Linked DNA regions of Mytilus edulis. The protein of the gene in region 1 binds, or shares a complex with, the protein of each later gene. Links are inferred from orthologs where the notes say so. Each region holds a gene or a part of one and is shown on either strand. Other genes may lie near its edges.

What was found. Proteins that work in one complex are often made in the same cells at the same time.
Region 2: THO complex subunit 1-like (region 1) and chromatin target of PRMT1 protein-like share a complex: the UniProt entries of both Homo sapiens proteins name them as parts of the transcription/export (TREX) complex. The link is inferred for Mytilus edulis from reciprocal best matches to the Homo sapiens genes THOC1 and CHTOP.

The regions. Positions count from the first base shown.
Region 1 is NC_092344.1:105,009,077-105,017,078, forward strand, and holds the start of THO complex subunit 1-like, read left to right. Parts: upstream 1-4,976; 5' UTR 4,977-5,050; coding exon 5,051-5,101; intron 5,102-6,676; coding exon 6,677-6,750; intron 6,751-8,002. Other genes in the region: adenosine 3'-phospho 5'-phosphosulfate transporter 2-like, read right to left, coding at 1,676-1,916, 4,871-4,875. UniProt on the Homo sapiens protein: Component of the THO subcomplex of the TREX complex which is thought to couple mRNA transcription, processing and nuclear export, and which specifically associates with spliced mRNA and not with unspliced pre-mRNA.
Region 2 is NC_092354.1:21,885,718-21,893,558, forward strand, and holds the start of chromatin target of PRMT1 protein-like, read left to right. Parts: upstream 1-4,833; 5' UTR 4,834-4,972; intron 4,973-6,464; 5' UTR 6,465-6,478; coding exon 6,479-6,537; intron 6,538-7,841. Other genes in the region: meiosis-specific nuclear structural protein 1-like, read right to left, coding at 350-477, 1,174-1,389, 4,422-4,424. UniProt on the Homo sapiens protein: Plays an important role in the ligand-dependent activation of estrogen receptor target genes. May play a role in the silencing of fetal globin genes.

The sequences.
Region 1 (8,002 bases):
ATCACTGAATGGTAAAGATTATTTAAATTTATCAGTTGGTAGTAAAAAGTGTATATACATTGTATATTGTATATAACAAAGATTTAAGTTGATTCTGGACAAAGAAAGATAACTCCAATTAAAAAAAATTCTTGCTATTGCACAAATAGGATATTTCTTGCTTACTATTCTGGACAAAGAAAGATAACTCTATTTAAAAAAAAAATTGCTATTTCACAATATTGTGCAATTAGATATTTCTTGCCATTGCACAATACTGTGCAATTGAAAAGACTTGCTATTGCACAATACTTAATATAATAATTTTAGATCCTGATTTGGACCAACTTGAAAACTGGGCCCATAATCAAAAATCTAAGTACATGTTTAGATTCAGCATATCAAAGAGGCCCAAGAATTCAATTTTTGTTAAAATCAAACTTAGTTTAATTTTGGACCCTTTGGACTTTAATGTAGAATTTGAAATTTGAAAACAGGACCAAAAATGAAGAATCTACATACACAGTTAGATTTGGCATATAAAAGAACCCCAAGGATTCAATTTTTGATGAAATCAAACAAAGTTTAATTTTGGACCCTTTGGACCTTAATGTAGACCAATTTGAAAACTGGACCAAAAAAACTTCAATAATCAAGAATCTAAGTACATTTTTAGATTCAACATATCAAAGAACCCAACCGATTCATTTTTTGTCAAAATCAAACTAAGTTTAATTTTGGACCCTTTGGACCTTAATGTAGACCAATTTGAAAACGGGACCAAAAGTTGAGAATCTACATATACAGTTAGATTCGGCATATCAAAGAACCCCAATTATTCAATTTTGATGAAATCAAACAAAGTTTAATTTTGGACCCTTTGGGCCCCTTTTTCCTAAACTGTTGGGACCAAAACTCCCAAAATCAATACCAACCTTCCTTTTATGGTCATAAGCCTTGTGTTTAAATTTCATAGATTTGTATTTACTTATACTAACATTATAGTGCGAAAACCAAGAAAAATGCTTATTTGGGTCCCTTTTTGGCCCCTAATTCCTAATCTGTTGGGTCCTAAACTCCCAAAATAAATACCAACCTTCCTTTTGTGGTCATAAACATTGTGTTTAAATTTCATAGATTTCCATTTACTTAACCTAAGGTTATTGTGCAAAAACCAAGAAAAATGCTTATTTGGGCCCTTTATTGGCCCCTTATTATTCCTAAACTATTGAAACCAAAACTCCCAAAATCAATCCCAATCTTTCTTTTGTGGTCATAAACCTTGTGTCAAAATTTCATAGATTTCTATTAACTTAAACTAAAGTTATGGTGCGAAAACCAAGAAAATGCTTATTTGGGCCCTTTTTGGCCCCTTATTCCTAAAATATTGGGACCAAAACTCCCAAAATCAATACCAACCTTCCTTTTATGGTCATAAACCTTGTGTTAAAATTTCATAGATTTCTATTCACTTTTACTAAAGTTAGAGTGCGAAAACTAAAAGTATTCGGACGCCGGACGACGACGACGACGACGACGACGACGACGACGACGACGACGCAGACGCCAACGTGATAGCAATATACGACGAAAATTTTTTCAAAATTTGCAGTCGTATAAAAACCATCAAAGCACAATGATCATAAATATGGGTACATCATCAAAAAGGAATATTGTTATAATGTTTGTAACTTACTTGCATATAACCATATACCAAATAAAAAACAAACACTGCAGCTGTAAGCAGGATGAATTGCATAGTTGGCGATTGTCCTGATATATCAAAAAATCCAATCTTAAGTTCTGTTGTTTTCTTATTTGAGGATTCTGGCATAGGAACTATAGCAGATTTTTGAGACATTTCGTACAATGCAGAGTTACTTCCCTTTTGTCTCAGTAGTCCAACAGATAGTGGTGTGACTCGAGGAGTCACTGATCTAAAACAAATATAGCAAAAGTTATGTATTTTTTTGTATGATCAATCCATTTAGTCAGTGAAAACAAAATCAGAGCGAGTATTTAATTTTGTTCATGAATTTTGTTTACATACATCTACTTTACAAATACAAGCTCTAATACAATAGGAATTTTCCAAACACTTAAACAGCCGACTCCTAGCTCTAGTTAAAAACATTGAATCATTTCTTTACATTACATGTATATATTTAAATTATAATAACTGAAATATCATTTTGAACATCATTGATTTTTTACCATCTGTTTCTATATGGATAAAAATCAATATATAATTACCATACAATTAATTTTACAAATGTCCACAAATTTAATGACTGTATATCTTTCAATTAATGATATCTAAAATGGTTGTACGCATGCTGGTAAAAGATAGAATTTTCTTGATTCAAATTATTAAAAATCTTGAATCTTAGCCAGTGAAAAAAAATGACCATGATAACCTGAAAAACTTCAATCATGCATCAACTGATGTGATTCAACTATGACACACATATACAAGCTCCTAGGTTTTTTTTTAAAGGTGAACTCTCTCAAACCTACAAGTCACAAAAAGAAGTCTGTCATAAGAAAAAGAAACTTTGTAAATAAAAACATATCTGAATAAGAAAACATTATTCAATACATGTACACAAAATCATTCACCAGGTTATACATCTGGTGACAAAACTTCAAATAGTGGTCACACTCACAGTCTTCACAATAAATATTTTAATCAGCAGGCTCGTATCTCAATTTTTTGAGAATTTAGTTAGATTTTGTTGGCCTGTAGAGATGATTTTTACATGCTTGAAAGAAATTTTACAAGCCTGGACTGCCTGGACTGCCAGGCCTGTAGTGATGTGTGAAGATTCCAGTGGATCATCCATACCTTAAAGAATCAGGACATATGGCCTATCAATGACACATGTAAGAACATTCACTAAAGTTATATTAAAAATCAATTGTTCACAGAACAATTGGTGGTCTTTCCACATCAATTTTTCTAAATTATCAATAAGAAGCTACTTCTAGTTAACTCAAAGTTACTATTGGCATCCAAGCATAAAGATTTATTCATACTGATTCAATAAATACATGAAATATATGTTTCTATATATTTTTGCATGAAACAAGGGAGATAATTATCAACTTCTGGTTAAATATGTCACTTCCAGTCTCATAAGATAGCTTTATTCACACGGATTCCCAAAATATATAGTTTCTATATACTTTTGCCTGTAATAAGGGAGATATAAGGTACTGGTTTATTGAAGGTCACTTCTGATCTCAAATATTAGGTTTTTGTATGCTTATCTAAAAAAAAAGTTTTAAGGTACTTTTCAAAGGAATAAGTGCACAAATAGCTACTTACAATTTACTCAAGGTTACCTCCAGGTGATACTTTTCAAGGTTATATGTCACCCAACAGATTGTTAAAGACCGTATGGCTTTATCATGTACCAAGTTAGAGTAATAATCAATTCATCTTAAATTTAATAATTTCAGGGACAATAACTCATATAAGATGTCATTGGATTGTTTCAGACCAAATGAATCATATCTACATCACAATCAGGCCAACATTTTTCAATAGTTCTTGTATCTATATCTTAAAAGTGAGAGAGGAGATCATAAAACAAGGAAAAGTAAAAATTTAAAATATAACCTTGACCTCAATTTCATTTTTGTGCACAAGTGACCCAAAATCAATATTATAATACTAGAACACACCCGCGAAATCGCGGGCATATACAGCTTGTAAACTGTTGTAGGATGAATTTTTGTAAAATTTATTATGGTTGGAGAATTTCATATAAGGTATCAAAAGCCCTCTATCTTTTTTTCCAAAATCTGTTATGTGTTTCCTTTCTGTTAAATTCAATAATTTTCGTGTTTCTGGCATTATACCACAATTATTCTTCACCTTTGCTACAATGCATTTTTTTTTTTATAAAAGTCAAATTAAATTAAAAATTTGCACCGCTTCAAACATGAAATAAATGAAACTGCTTATAGATCATGCATTATTATTCTAATAAAATATGCTTGTAGGACAATCCATCAATGCTTTTCCTTTTGAGAGCCCTATTAACATGCCAATGGTAGGATTTGGATCTCATATAAATGACTAAGGCTCATTTGAGGGGTGGTCTGAGGGGCCCTGATCCCGAAGTCCCGGGCTTTTAAAAAAATGAAATCCTGAGGTGCGTATTTTAACGAAATTCATAAGCTGACATCCCGAAATTAAAAAAAAATAATATTCCAGAGTTTAAAAACACCCGATCCAAACGTCCAGAATAAGTCCAGCCTCCCTCTAATCTCTACCCTACTTTCATTTTGGCCAAATTACTACTTTCACTTTCAACAATAAACTTTTATGCCCCATTTATGGGAATTATGTTTTCATGTTCGTTGTCCGTCCGTCCTTCTGTCCCGCTTCAGGTTAAAGTTTTCACTTTCAACAATAAATTTTTATGCCCCATTTATGGGAATTATGTTTTCTAGTCCGTTTGTTAGTCCGTTTGTTCATCCGCTTGTTCGTTCGTCCGTCCGATCGTCTGTCCCGCTTCAGGTTAAAGTTTTTGTCGAGGTAATTTTTTATGAAGTTGAAGTCAAACCAACTCGAAACTTAGTAAAGATGTTCCCTATGATATGATCTTTCTAATTTTAATGCCAAATTAGAGATTTTACCGCATTTCATGGTCCACTAAACATAGTAAAGGATATTTTTTTAACAAATATTTAAATTACAAAAAAAATAATTTAAACAAACTTCGTCCCCATTCACAGGTAATGCCTGCCTCATATTCAGTTTAAAGCCTATGGTTGTGCCATTAGCCCTGCTATATATGGTCTTGTTCTTCTTTTTTTTAGATAGTCTAAGAATGGGGTGTTGGTTTGCAGGGCAAAGACAATCTATATAATATAAAATTACATCATTTTTGGTTGTCAAATGGAAGTTTTTAACGACCTTGACTGTCAAATATTCATTTCCACTTAAATAGTTAAGGTATGCACATTGCCAACCACTAGTCGGTGTTTCGTGGGCCAGCGAAACGTCAAAATATGACCGGAAGTGTGAAGTACGTCATCAAATATTGCGGAAAATTTCAAGATGGCAGCCTCCATCGGATTTAACTTTCTGGGATCTGTGGGAAAATTTACAGTAATTCCATCACTTTTAGATAACTTTTTCAAATTTTAAATTGAGCTTGAATTAAACCAACAAGACACTTATTTTTACATGTTCATTTAAATGAAAATTTGACAACAACAATTTCTTCAAACAATCCTACATATTTTTTTGGGAAACAAGACGTTTCGGCCATTGTCATTGAGCCGGTTCGGTCTTGGTCGTTTCGGCCATGTAATAAACGTAGTATAGACTAAAAGTTATACAAACATTGGTTCTATTTGTTTGTTTCTCTTTTATGTTGTCAGCAAATAGGAATTTGAGTGTTTTATCACTTATTTTTTAGAACATGAAAAATGGTGTATAAATAATTTTTCAGTAATACATAAATTTTTCTTGTTAAAATCTAAAACATTGTTACATACACGAGCGAATCATACAAGTTGAGATATATAAACTCCGTAAGATGGTGACAAGGGAATGTCACCATCTAAAAATGGATAATTAACGATAGGAAATGAGAAATCATCTCTTTTATCATAAATTTTAGTATTAAGCTTTTCATTAATGATATAGATATCAAGATCGAGGATTTTCGGTTTTAAAAGCTCTTCAGAGCTTATGTTTGTAATTGCTTGCTTATACCAACTCTAAATAAAGCTTTATGTCTTATGTCTTATGGCAGTGGTCATTGCTAGTATTAGCTTTATTAAGTAAGTTCAACAGGATAAATTTCTTTAGTATACATACTGAAGTCGTCATTATTGAGAGCCAAAATATCATCCAAATATCTAAAAGTATTATTAAATTTGTGTATCAGATGTTGTTTCGATGGGTCTTTGCTGATTTTTGTCATAAATTGTGACTCATAGCAATACAAAAACAGGTCCCCATTGGATTTACGATAACCTGACGATATAGGGAATCTCCAAAGAGATCTAATAAATCTAATAAAAATTGAAGGGCAGATATAATATCAAAGCATGTCCAATTGACATAGTTTTTTTTGTTTATTGCTACTAAAAAATGACCTAAAAGAGTGAACATATATAGTCACATTCTGACTTTTTAAATGTCCATTTAATTAGGGGTGTGAATTTTTTCATAATGAGAATGTGAGGCAATGTGGTATATAGGGTAGAAAAATCAAAACTTTGAACAGATTCAAAATCACCAATATAAGCATGCAATTTATCAAGTACTTCCAACGAGTTTTTGACACTCCAAAAGTAATTTATTCCACTATTTTCGAAGGCCTTATTTGAACAATTTATTATCAGGTTTTTGATTGTACCAAGTGTACTGGTAAGAAGAATAGATAATTAAATAGTGGAACAATGGCTTGTAGACGAATTAAATTTATATTTGTAAGGTGTTTTGTGTAGCTTCGGAAGCCAATACATAGTTGGGACTTTCATTGATTGTAAAGGGGTAGCTAAAAGTTAATGTTTGTTACAGATATTGTTTTCTGAAAATGGAGTCAGTTGGAATGTTGGTGAATTGGTAGTAGGTTACATCCAAAATAAAAGTAGCAGTCTTGTTTTCATATACATGCACATGTATGACTGTTGATTTTTTTTAAACTAAAAAACTTACTTATTATTTCAGAGTGCTTTGAGAGAATCTCTGTTGCAAAAGTCTAATGTGGAGTGCATTACAGTATACAAATCATACAATGGAAGGTGGGTATTAAAGAGACAGAAAAGAGTATATTGCTTATTTATTTGCTAAATCCATGTCCCAAAGAAAATAACATATTTATATAAATACGGTTAGTAGTATAACTAAGTATATATCCAGTATCATGAATATCTCTTTTACATGTATATGTTCCAGACCATATGTGTTTTTGGACCATCACATGAAATGCATGACAAACAGTTTGTTGCATCAAAGTCATACTATGGGAATGCTTCACTCGTTATGGCTCATTAATTCAAACAAACTTGACTACAAACCAAAATACTGTAACTTCTAAAACTATTAACTACTTTTCAGTTACACCCTGTGTATGCAGTTGTAATAAAATTTTCATTTTGATTTTCTCCTTTTTTGATGACAACTCAAAAGGGGCATACCTGAGGAAATATACAGTATCAAATGTTAATTTTACAACATTCATTGTGTTAATTAACCAGACCATATGTATATTGTTAGACCAAATGAGTACACAAATACCAGATCATGCATATGTATATAATTATTGTTAGACCAAATGAGTACACAAATACCAGATCATGCATATGTATATTGTCAGACCAAATGAGTACACAAATACCAGATCATGCATATGTATATTGTCAGACCAAATGAGTACACAAATACCAGATCATGCATATGTATATTGTCAGACCAAATGAGTACACAAATACCAGATCATGCATATGTATATTGTCTGACCCAATGAGTACACAAATACCAGATCATGCATATGTATATTGTCAGACCCAATGAGTACACAAATACCAGATCATGCATATGTATATTGTCAGACCCAATGAGTACACAAATACCAGATCATGCATATGTATATTGTCAGACCCAATGAGTACACAAATACCAGATCATGCATATGTATATTGTCAGACCAAATGAGTACACAAATACCAGATCATGCATATGTATATTGTCAGACCAAATGAGTACACAAATACCAGATCATGCATATGTATATTGTCAGACCAAATGAGTACACAAATACCAGATCATGCATATGTATATTGTCTGACCAAATGAGTACACAAATACCAGATCATGCATATGTATATTGTCTGACCAAATGAGTACACAAATACCAGATCATGCATATGTATATTGTCTGACCAAATGAGTTCACAAATACCAGATCATGCATATGTATATTGTCTGACCAAATGAGTACACAAATACCAGATCATGCATATGTATATTGTCTGACCAAATGAGTACACAAAT
Region 2 (7,841 bases), on another chromosome or scaffold:
AGATGACAGAAATCTATGAATTTAATTATTTTAATTCACAATCCTCAAAATTTGATCGTTTGAAAATTTATTTTTCAGAAATGAAAAAAAAAAGTTCTTGGGTCGGGGGGTTTTAACTAGGGTTGGTCGGGTTACTGGAACCACACATATATTTTTATTTGGCCTCAGCAAGGTAAGAATTTTCTGATATATAAGAAATAGAGCAAAGAGAAAGACAGGAAATTAAAAATGAAAACTTTAAAATTGAGAATGAAAATAATTGACCAAATGGTATAATAATCAACCAAAGAATATTTAGTCAACATCTAGAATATTGACAGCTTATAAAGTCACTGTAAATTATTTGTACCTTGTTTCCCTAATTTGTTGTCTCATTTTTTCATCTCTCATTCCTTCTAATTTGTGTTTCTCCATTTCCTGAGCCAATCTTTCTTCTTGTAACATTTGTTCTTCTCTGATCAATCTATCTCTCTGTGCCTAAAATGTGTATGTAAATAAAATACAGTATATTCCTTTATTTTCTTGGTTACCAATTTTGCGTTCTGATGATTAATCAATGGATATGAAACAATGTCAGTAAATCAAAATATTTCCTTTTCAAGACTTAAAAACTTTTTATTCTATAACTTTAAAATATAAAATAAATTAAACATGTTTTTGTTCATACATTTTTTGTAACAATACATATTAAAGGTGTAAAAAAATTGAAACTGGAAGTGAACGTCCTGTATGAGCCCATGGGCCAATACAGCTTTTTTTGCCCTGTTCCTAAAGCAATATTAACTCTTGATTTATATCAACGGTGGAATGTTTTCAGGATTGCGCAGACTGATTTGCTCATATCATTCAATAATCTGTGGTTCCAATGTAGTATGTGCTTTGTTTAATTTTTACCACTAGCCATGGTCTGCCCTATATTTTAGACTTAGTAGCTTTTACCAGTTGCATTGACATTTCAATAAAATATACATTGTGTATGTGCATAAAGTAATTTTATATTACTTTTTTTGTTGTTATGAATAATGTCTGTGAGTTAAAAAGATCGTGCGATCAAAACCCTTTCAACAGGTTACTAAATAATTGTTTTCAAATGTAGTTTTTTTTGTAGGAAACATGTAAATGTAATGAAAGTTATTCTTATGAAAAGGTATTACAACTAAGTTTAGCACAAACCTTGAGAATTGTGTCCTCCATATCTCTCTCTTTCTGCTCCATCATCATTCGTCTGATGTAACGTTTCTCTGAGAGTTTTTCTTCATTACTCATATTTGCCTCCAACAACTTCTGGGTGCCCAACTGACGGATGGTGTCTTCCCGTACTTCTTCATGCCTACGGTAGTTCTGTAACTGCCGTTCCCTCTCAGAAGCAGTCAGTCTCCGAACAGTTGTCTGAAATATGAACAATTGATTTTTAATAAAAAAAAAATATGAAGATTTATCATAGCATTACACTAACATGACTAAGGAGTTCAGGCTCAATTTATTTTTCATATTACATTAGAAAACAAAAAATATTGCATCGTATAAGTTCTATTCTGTTTCAAAGTGATGCAATTTTTCCTTTAAAAATGCCTTGTACCAAGTCAGGAATATGGCCATTGTTATATTATAGTTCGTTTCTGTGTGTATTACATTATAACGTTGTGTCGTTTGTTTTCTCTTATCTTTGTGTGTAAATTCACATTGCGATAAGACGTGTCACGGTACTTGTCTATCCCAAATTCATGTATTTGGTTTTGATGTTATATATATATATGCAGTGATTTTGCTAGCGCTCGTCACTTTCGTATTTTACGAAAGGGTTTTCTCATTGACGAAAGTATTTCAAATCAATTTCGTCACTTTAATTTTGAAAGTGTAAAAAAAAATTCGCAATAAAAACTATAAATCTACCTGTCTTCATGTTTTTGACAAGTTTATGACCTCCAGGTAATTAACATTTTCAACAGGTGTGATTACAACTAATCCGCTCAGATGGGTCACTTATCCGTAATTTATTAATTAACCCCATAATTGAATGACCATCATAATTATTTCCCCAGGAAAATCAGTCAGTCGGCATTTCAACAACCAGGAGTATAATTTCGTCATTTAATCAAAAATGTAACAATGCCGGACAGTTCGCATTTGAATTTCAATATTTCCCAAACGATCACAATCTGAAGTTAGTTTATCGTAGATTCGTCATTCGAAGGCATTTTCGTCATATTTGATTTAAATTTTCATCAAAAACTTTCAACAATTTCCATTTAAAATAAAGAACTTTCATGTGTTTATTCAAAAAGTTCACGAGAAATGTTTTAAACAGGTGCTTCCTGTATTGTGTTCTACGCATGCGTGAAAGTATCCTTTTGACTATATAGACATTAAAAACGTAAAATACGAAATCATTTAGAATCAATTAAACGAGAGAGACAAATATATATCTCTTACTAAAGGAATTTAAATCGAAAAATAATAATTTCCTGATGAATCCGGACTCGTTTTGAATTTATTATCCACGTGTCACTTCCCGTTTTCGTTTCATTTTAAAACCGAAAGTAGTAAACGTGATCTATTGTTGATTTGTTTACAACCTCCTTTCAGTCATTATAATCGTTCCAAAAAGGATATAATACATTTCCATCTTGATAGAAATGATATCCAAATATCGACTAAGATGTTTTATAAGGATAATGATTATGCAGTGAAATAATCATTGCAAATTGATTTCTGCTGTGATTCCTTGTTTAAAAAAAATAGAATCCAACTTTTGTTGTTCAGGAATGACCCCTGGAATAAACTGAAGAGAAATTGTGATTCCATGTCAGAATCTTTCATAATAATAGCCAATACAGTCAAATCATACAATAACTGCCAATCATGCTGGTGCCTCAATCCCTTAAAATCTGACTAAGTCAAAAGATGAAGCTAGTACTATACATCATTGTTCTATTGCTTATACACAAAATAAGGTTGATTTTAATAGCGCGCAAAAGTGACTAAAGCCCTCAAAATCCTAGCTTAAACCCTGTATATATGTTATATTTGTTATTCTCGTGGGATTTTGTCTATGTGTGTTACATTTTAGTGTTATGTCGTTGTTCTCCTCTTATATTTAATGTGTTTCCCTCGGTTTTAGTTTGTTACCCCGATTTTGTTTTTTGTCCATGGATTTATGAGTTTTGAACAGCAGTATACTACTGTTGCCTTTATTTACACTGTTAAACTTTTAAATCTGTAATGCACATGTACATGTATATGGTTACAATTATGTCTTAAAAACATTCTTTGTTAGAAACAGGACTTTTTAATTATTTCAATTCAAAGAAAAAAAACATCGCTATGAAATAAATCAAACTTTATGATTCAGATTGCCTCTTTTTTTTTTACACTAATGGCGCCATATGTATCTAGATCACAAACCATAAAACATAAACTTTTTTGACTGAAAGGTGTAAATACAGCACTGGTGTGAATACCAATCATAACAATTCAAACCATTTATACAGCAAAGGAATGATAAAAATGTGCCTTGCAACACGATTATAGCATATGCATGTATATTGAACATTTATAAATCCTTCGCATAGCTAATTCTAACGGAAACTTGACTGAGCAAACATTTGTAATAGACCAGAATTGTATCTTTATTTGTGATCCCCAACAGTAGAACTATTCTTGTCATTCAGTGTTGTGAAGTCTGCTTACTATATGTACAGTAAAGGCTAGTGCGCCGCTCAATTGTAACGTCAGTATAGTTGTTGTACGTCATTTAGATTTCAATACATCATGTACATTATCAAACTAGCAAGACGTTTATTTTTTTACTTCATGCCATTGTACAAAATTTAGACACTACACACAATATACAGTAACAACGACATGGTCACAGATGTTCACATAAAATTTCATAGGAAAATATTGGACAGCACAAACATGACAAAGACAAAGTAAATTCAGTGTCCTGTAATGGCGAACAAAAAGTGATAAGTTGAATTTTATTCATGACAGGTCTGACAAACTGTACATGTGTTGCCAAATATGCAACAAAAGAATAAAATCATCGTTAGGCAACGTTGGACCTTGCACTTTTATAATGTATGCATTGTCTACCTCAGTTTGAATAAGTCATGATTTTTAAACTGGATATTATTGTGGATAGTACACATAGCTCTAACCATAAACCTAACCCGGAGCTAAAATATCCCATAACCTAACCATAACCATGAATGAACCTTCACTTATTGGCCTAAAACTCTAAAGTATAATGGTATATGGACCCTTTTTGAGTGGCATTCTTTCAACTTTGACTTTATCTTTGGTAGTAAATAATGAATTTGAAAGTGCCAGCAATTTGAAATGTAAAGGATACGATGTAAGTCTATATTTCTAATGTCAAATTTATTCAATTATTGCTCGGACTTCTTCAAAACTCTTACCATTTTGTTGGAATGTTCAAAGTTCTTCAAGAGCTGCACACTGAATGTTGTTGAGCCTAGAAACAACCGTTGCTATGGGTAAGTTAGATTGGTGTGACACAATATTTTGATATATTTTTTGCGATTAAATCGAATCAAAATAACACAATTTATTGATATTTTGACGAATACAAATTTAAATGTTATTATCTATCTCAGAAATTATTAGTTTTTGAAAAATTCAAACAATTCTAATGAGAACATTTAAAAACACCCCTATGGTATTTTGTTGATTCGTCTATTCTCTTCGGTATCACAGTTTACCAAAATTTTGAGTTTTAAAATTTTATATTTCATTTTCCTGTTTAAAAAAACATATTTTAGTAAGAACATAAATAGTCTAATAAAACAATTTCACATTTTTTTTATCATTATTTAGAGCCGAATAGTTCTAATATTTTATGAACTTCCGGTATCGGGTTGTTGACGTTTTATGTTTTGCAGATTCAGAATCATCATCCAAATTCATCGAAGTCAATTCGAAACTTTAGCAGATTTTAACAAAAAATTATGTATCCTTATCTACAAATTCATATTTTGGTTCATGTTTTACAGATTACAAAGTTGATCATGACTAAGAAAATCAAATAAGCCGACTCCGATGGCAAAAGTTGTCGGTGCAAGTTGTCAACCCTATCGAATTACGATAGGGCTTTAAACGGTCTCCCTTTTCTCCACAAAGGGTTATAACTACTCCCAATTGTTTGAAGTTGATCAACCCATAAGAGATACATTGGCAATAAAACATTTATCGTGCAGAAATAGGGTATCGGGATTGTTCGCCCTAATAACATGTTCGCCCTGGGTACGTTCGCCCTGGGTTCGTTCGCCCAGAGAGTCCGTTCGCCCTACTAAAAAATATTGATATTCAGAGCATTGAAGTTGAAAAAACTTATTCAGATATTTCTATGGTATATATTCTTGAAATTTATGGAAACAGGGAAATATTTAAAAGTTTATGGCTTGTATAGGATCATTAATTGTTCAATGACAAAATAATTCGGATCACTGATTATTGTGATACTTGTCTTTTGATGGATTATTAATAAAAATCAAACGTTTTGTTTTGATAAAATATTCAGCTTGAAATTAATAAACACAATGATGTACTAACTGTAAATCATGAAACGGATTTACAAGTTCATTATTATACTCGGAGACAGTCCTAGTCTCAGTTATACTGCATACATTCATGATTGACTGAATACAATTATTTTGTTAACAAATATCAATAAAGAGAAATACATCATGTATACCAATTCTACTCTGTAAATCAAAGAGAAAATGATAAAATGATTGCGGCAATATAAATATTCTGTCAATTTGTTAACAAACTTTAACATATTTTGTTCAAATACTTAAAATTATGCGACTGGACAACAAATAGAAAAAAATAAAAATCTGGGCGAATGGACCCTGGGCGAACAGGTATCAGGGCGAACGGACCCGGATTCCAGAAATAGATACATAGATTGATTGAATAATAAACAGTAATGGATTTGGGGTTTCCAGCACACATTTTATATTCCCAAGGCAAAAAACTGAGTAGTGTTATGAAAGAAAAGCCTAGCCTATGCTGTCATAAAACTTTCTAGAACTTGGACTCAAAAATCAACCAATCTAAATACTGGTTTTAGTCAAATTAGTGTTTTGTTCACAAATTTTTAGTCCGAGATTACTCTGACGTCCAACGGCTGTTTTGCCAGACAAGCTTGGGCCGTGCAACGTCAGAGCTCGTCCCATATCAAAAAGTGGGTATTTGCCCACCCAAAATAGATGCGCTGCTTCGTCGCTTCTGATGCCAACTGACGGCCTTGGAATTATATAAATTGGGCATCAATCTATTCATTTAAGAACCAGAATGAAAAAAAAACATGTATGGCAGGTCTACGACTAGCGTCAAATATACAAACACATAATTTTTTTGTATTTTTGCCTGAAACAAGTATGAATTAAATATGTTTTACTTCTAGTCATTTCTAATTTCCTTAACAGTTTATTCAGATAATTAAAGAAAGATGGCGGTTCCAGCTAAGATTGTTCTGAAGAGTACCACTAAGATGTCTTTGAATGATAGGTGAGAAGGAGGAGGAGCATGTTCCTGGCAGAGATTGCCTGGAAAAGTTGGAAGGAAAGAAATTTAGAGAGAATTTTTTCTCTCTATCAGTCATTTCTCTAATGACCAAAGGTCATTTCTATTGACCAAAGGTCATTTCTATTGACCAGAAGTCTTCTCTGTGGCTAGATGCCTTCTTTCAAGGCTAGTGCAAAAGAGAATGACAACAAAAAGCTATGCAAGCCAAAATGAAAAAATGCCACTGCACAAATGTGCAATTGGGCTCAAAACCTGATTTTGCCACTTAATATGTTAAATGAATCAGATTGCATGCTTGCATGCTAGTCTAACAATACACATGTTTTACATGTATGGTTAAAGTAACTAGTTATATCCTGTTGGCCACAGGTGAAAAAGGACAACAACTAGTGTCAAAGAGGCTGAAATTTGACAAGTGGCAGAAATTTGACAAGTGGCAGAAATTTGACAAGTGGCAAAACAGACAGAGTTGCAATACATGGCAAAAAGTCTTGAGAAAAGCAATAGTAAACCACAAGCACCGAGCAGTGCCATTGGATCATGTGGATAGCAAAATAACAAAAATCCAGTTACTATATTGAACTTTTCTATGCATGAATGTACAAGACTAGATTTTCTAGATTTGAAAAAGCTTCACTTTAGATATTTTCTTGCATGTTTTTTTGCTAAAAGTTAATGTCGTATATTAAAGTAATAATGGTTAGAAAAATCCGATTTCCTATTTTAAACTCATATATATAAAGTATAGTCGAAAGCAATAATCAAATGACTTTTCCTGAAATTCAGTTTGAATTTGTTTTTCTTATGTTTAATTAAGGTAGCACAATACAAAGATTTGTTCACTCCCAATCGGATAACTTTAAACTGATGTAATTCATTTAATCCTTCTTTATATATTATAAATGAGGTACCAAAAGAAAGAAGAAAGATTCATCTTTCAAATGGTGATAATTTCATTATGACATAATTATTACATAATTAATTATTATGTAATAAGTTGCTATATTGTGATGTCCACGCTTGAATGAATTTAGCGTCTTTGTTCTTCATAGCATCCCAAATTATTTAACAGATTCTGTTACAACACAGCTTGACCTCCAAAACTGTGTCTCAGATTTCCAAAAACATCAATAGAACAAATTTTATACCCAGTTGAATTTAGTGGTCTCTTATGAATTATTGTTGCAAATTTCATTGTAGATTTATGAGAGAATGAAATACAATAGGAAAAATCTGAGACACAGTTTTGGAGGTCAAACTGTGTTGTTCAAGAATCTATAAAATAT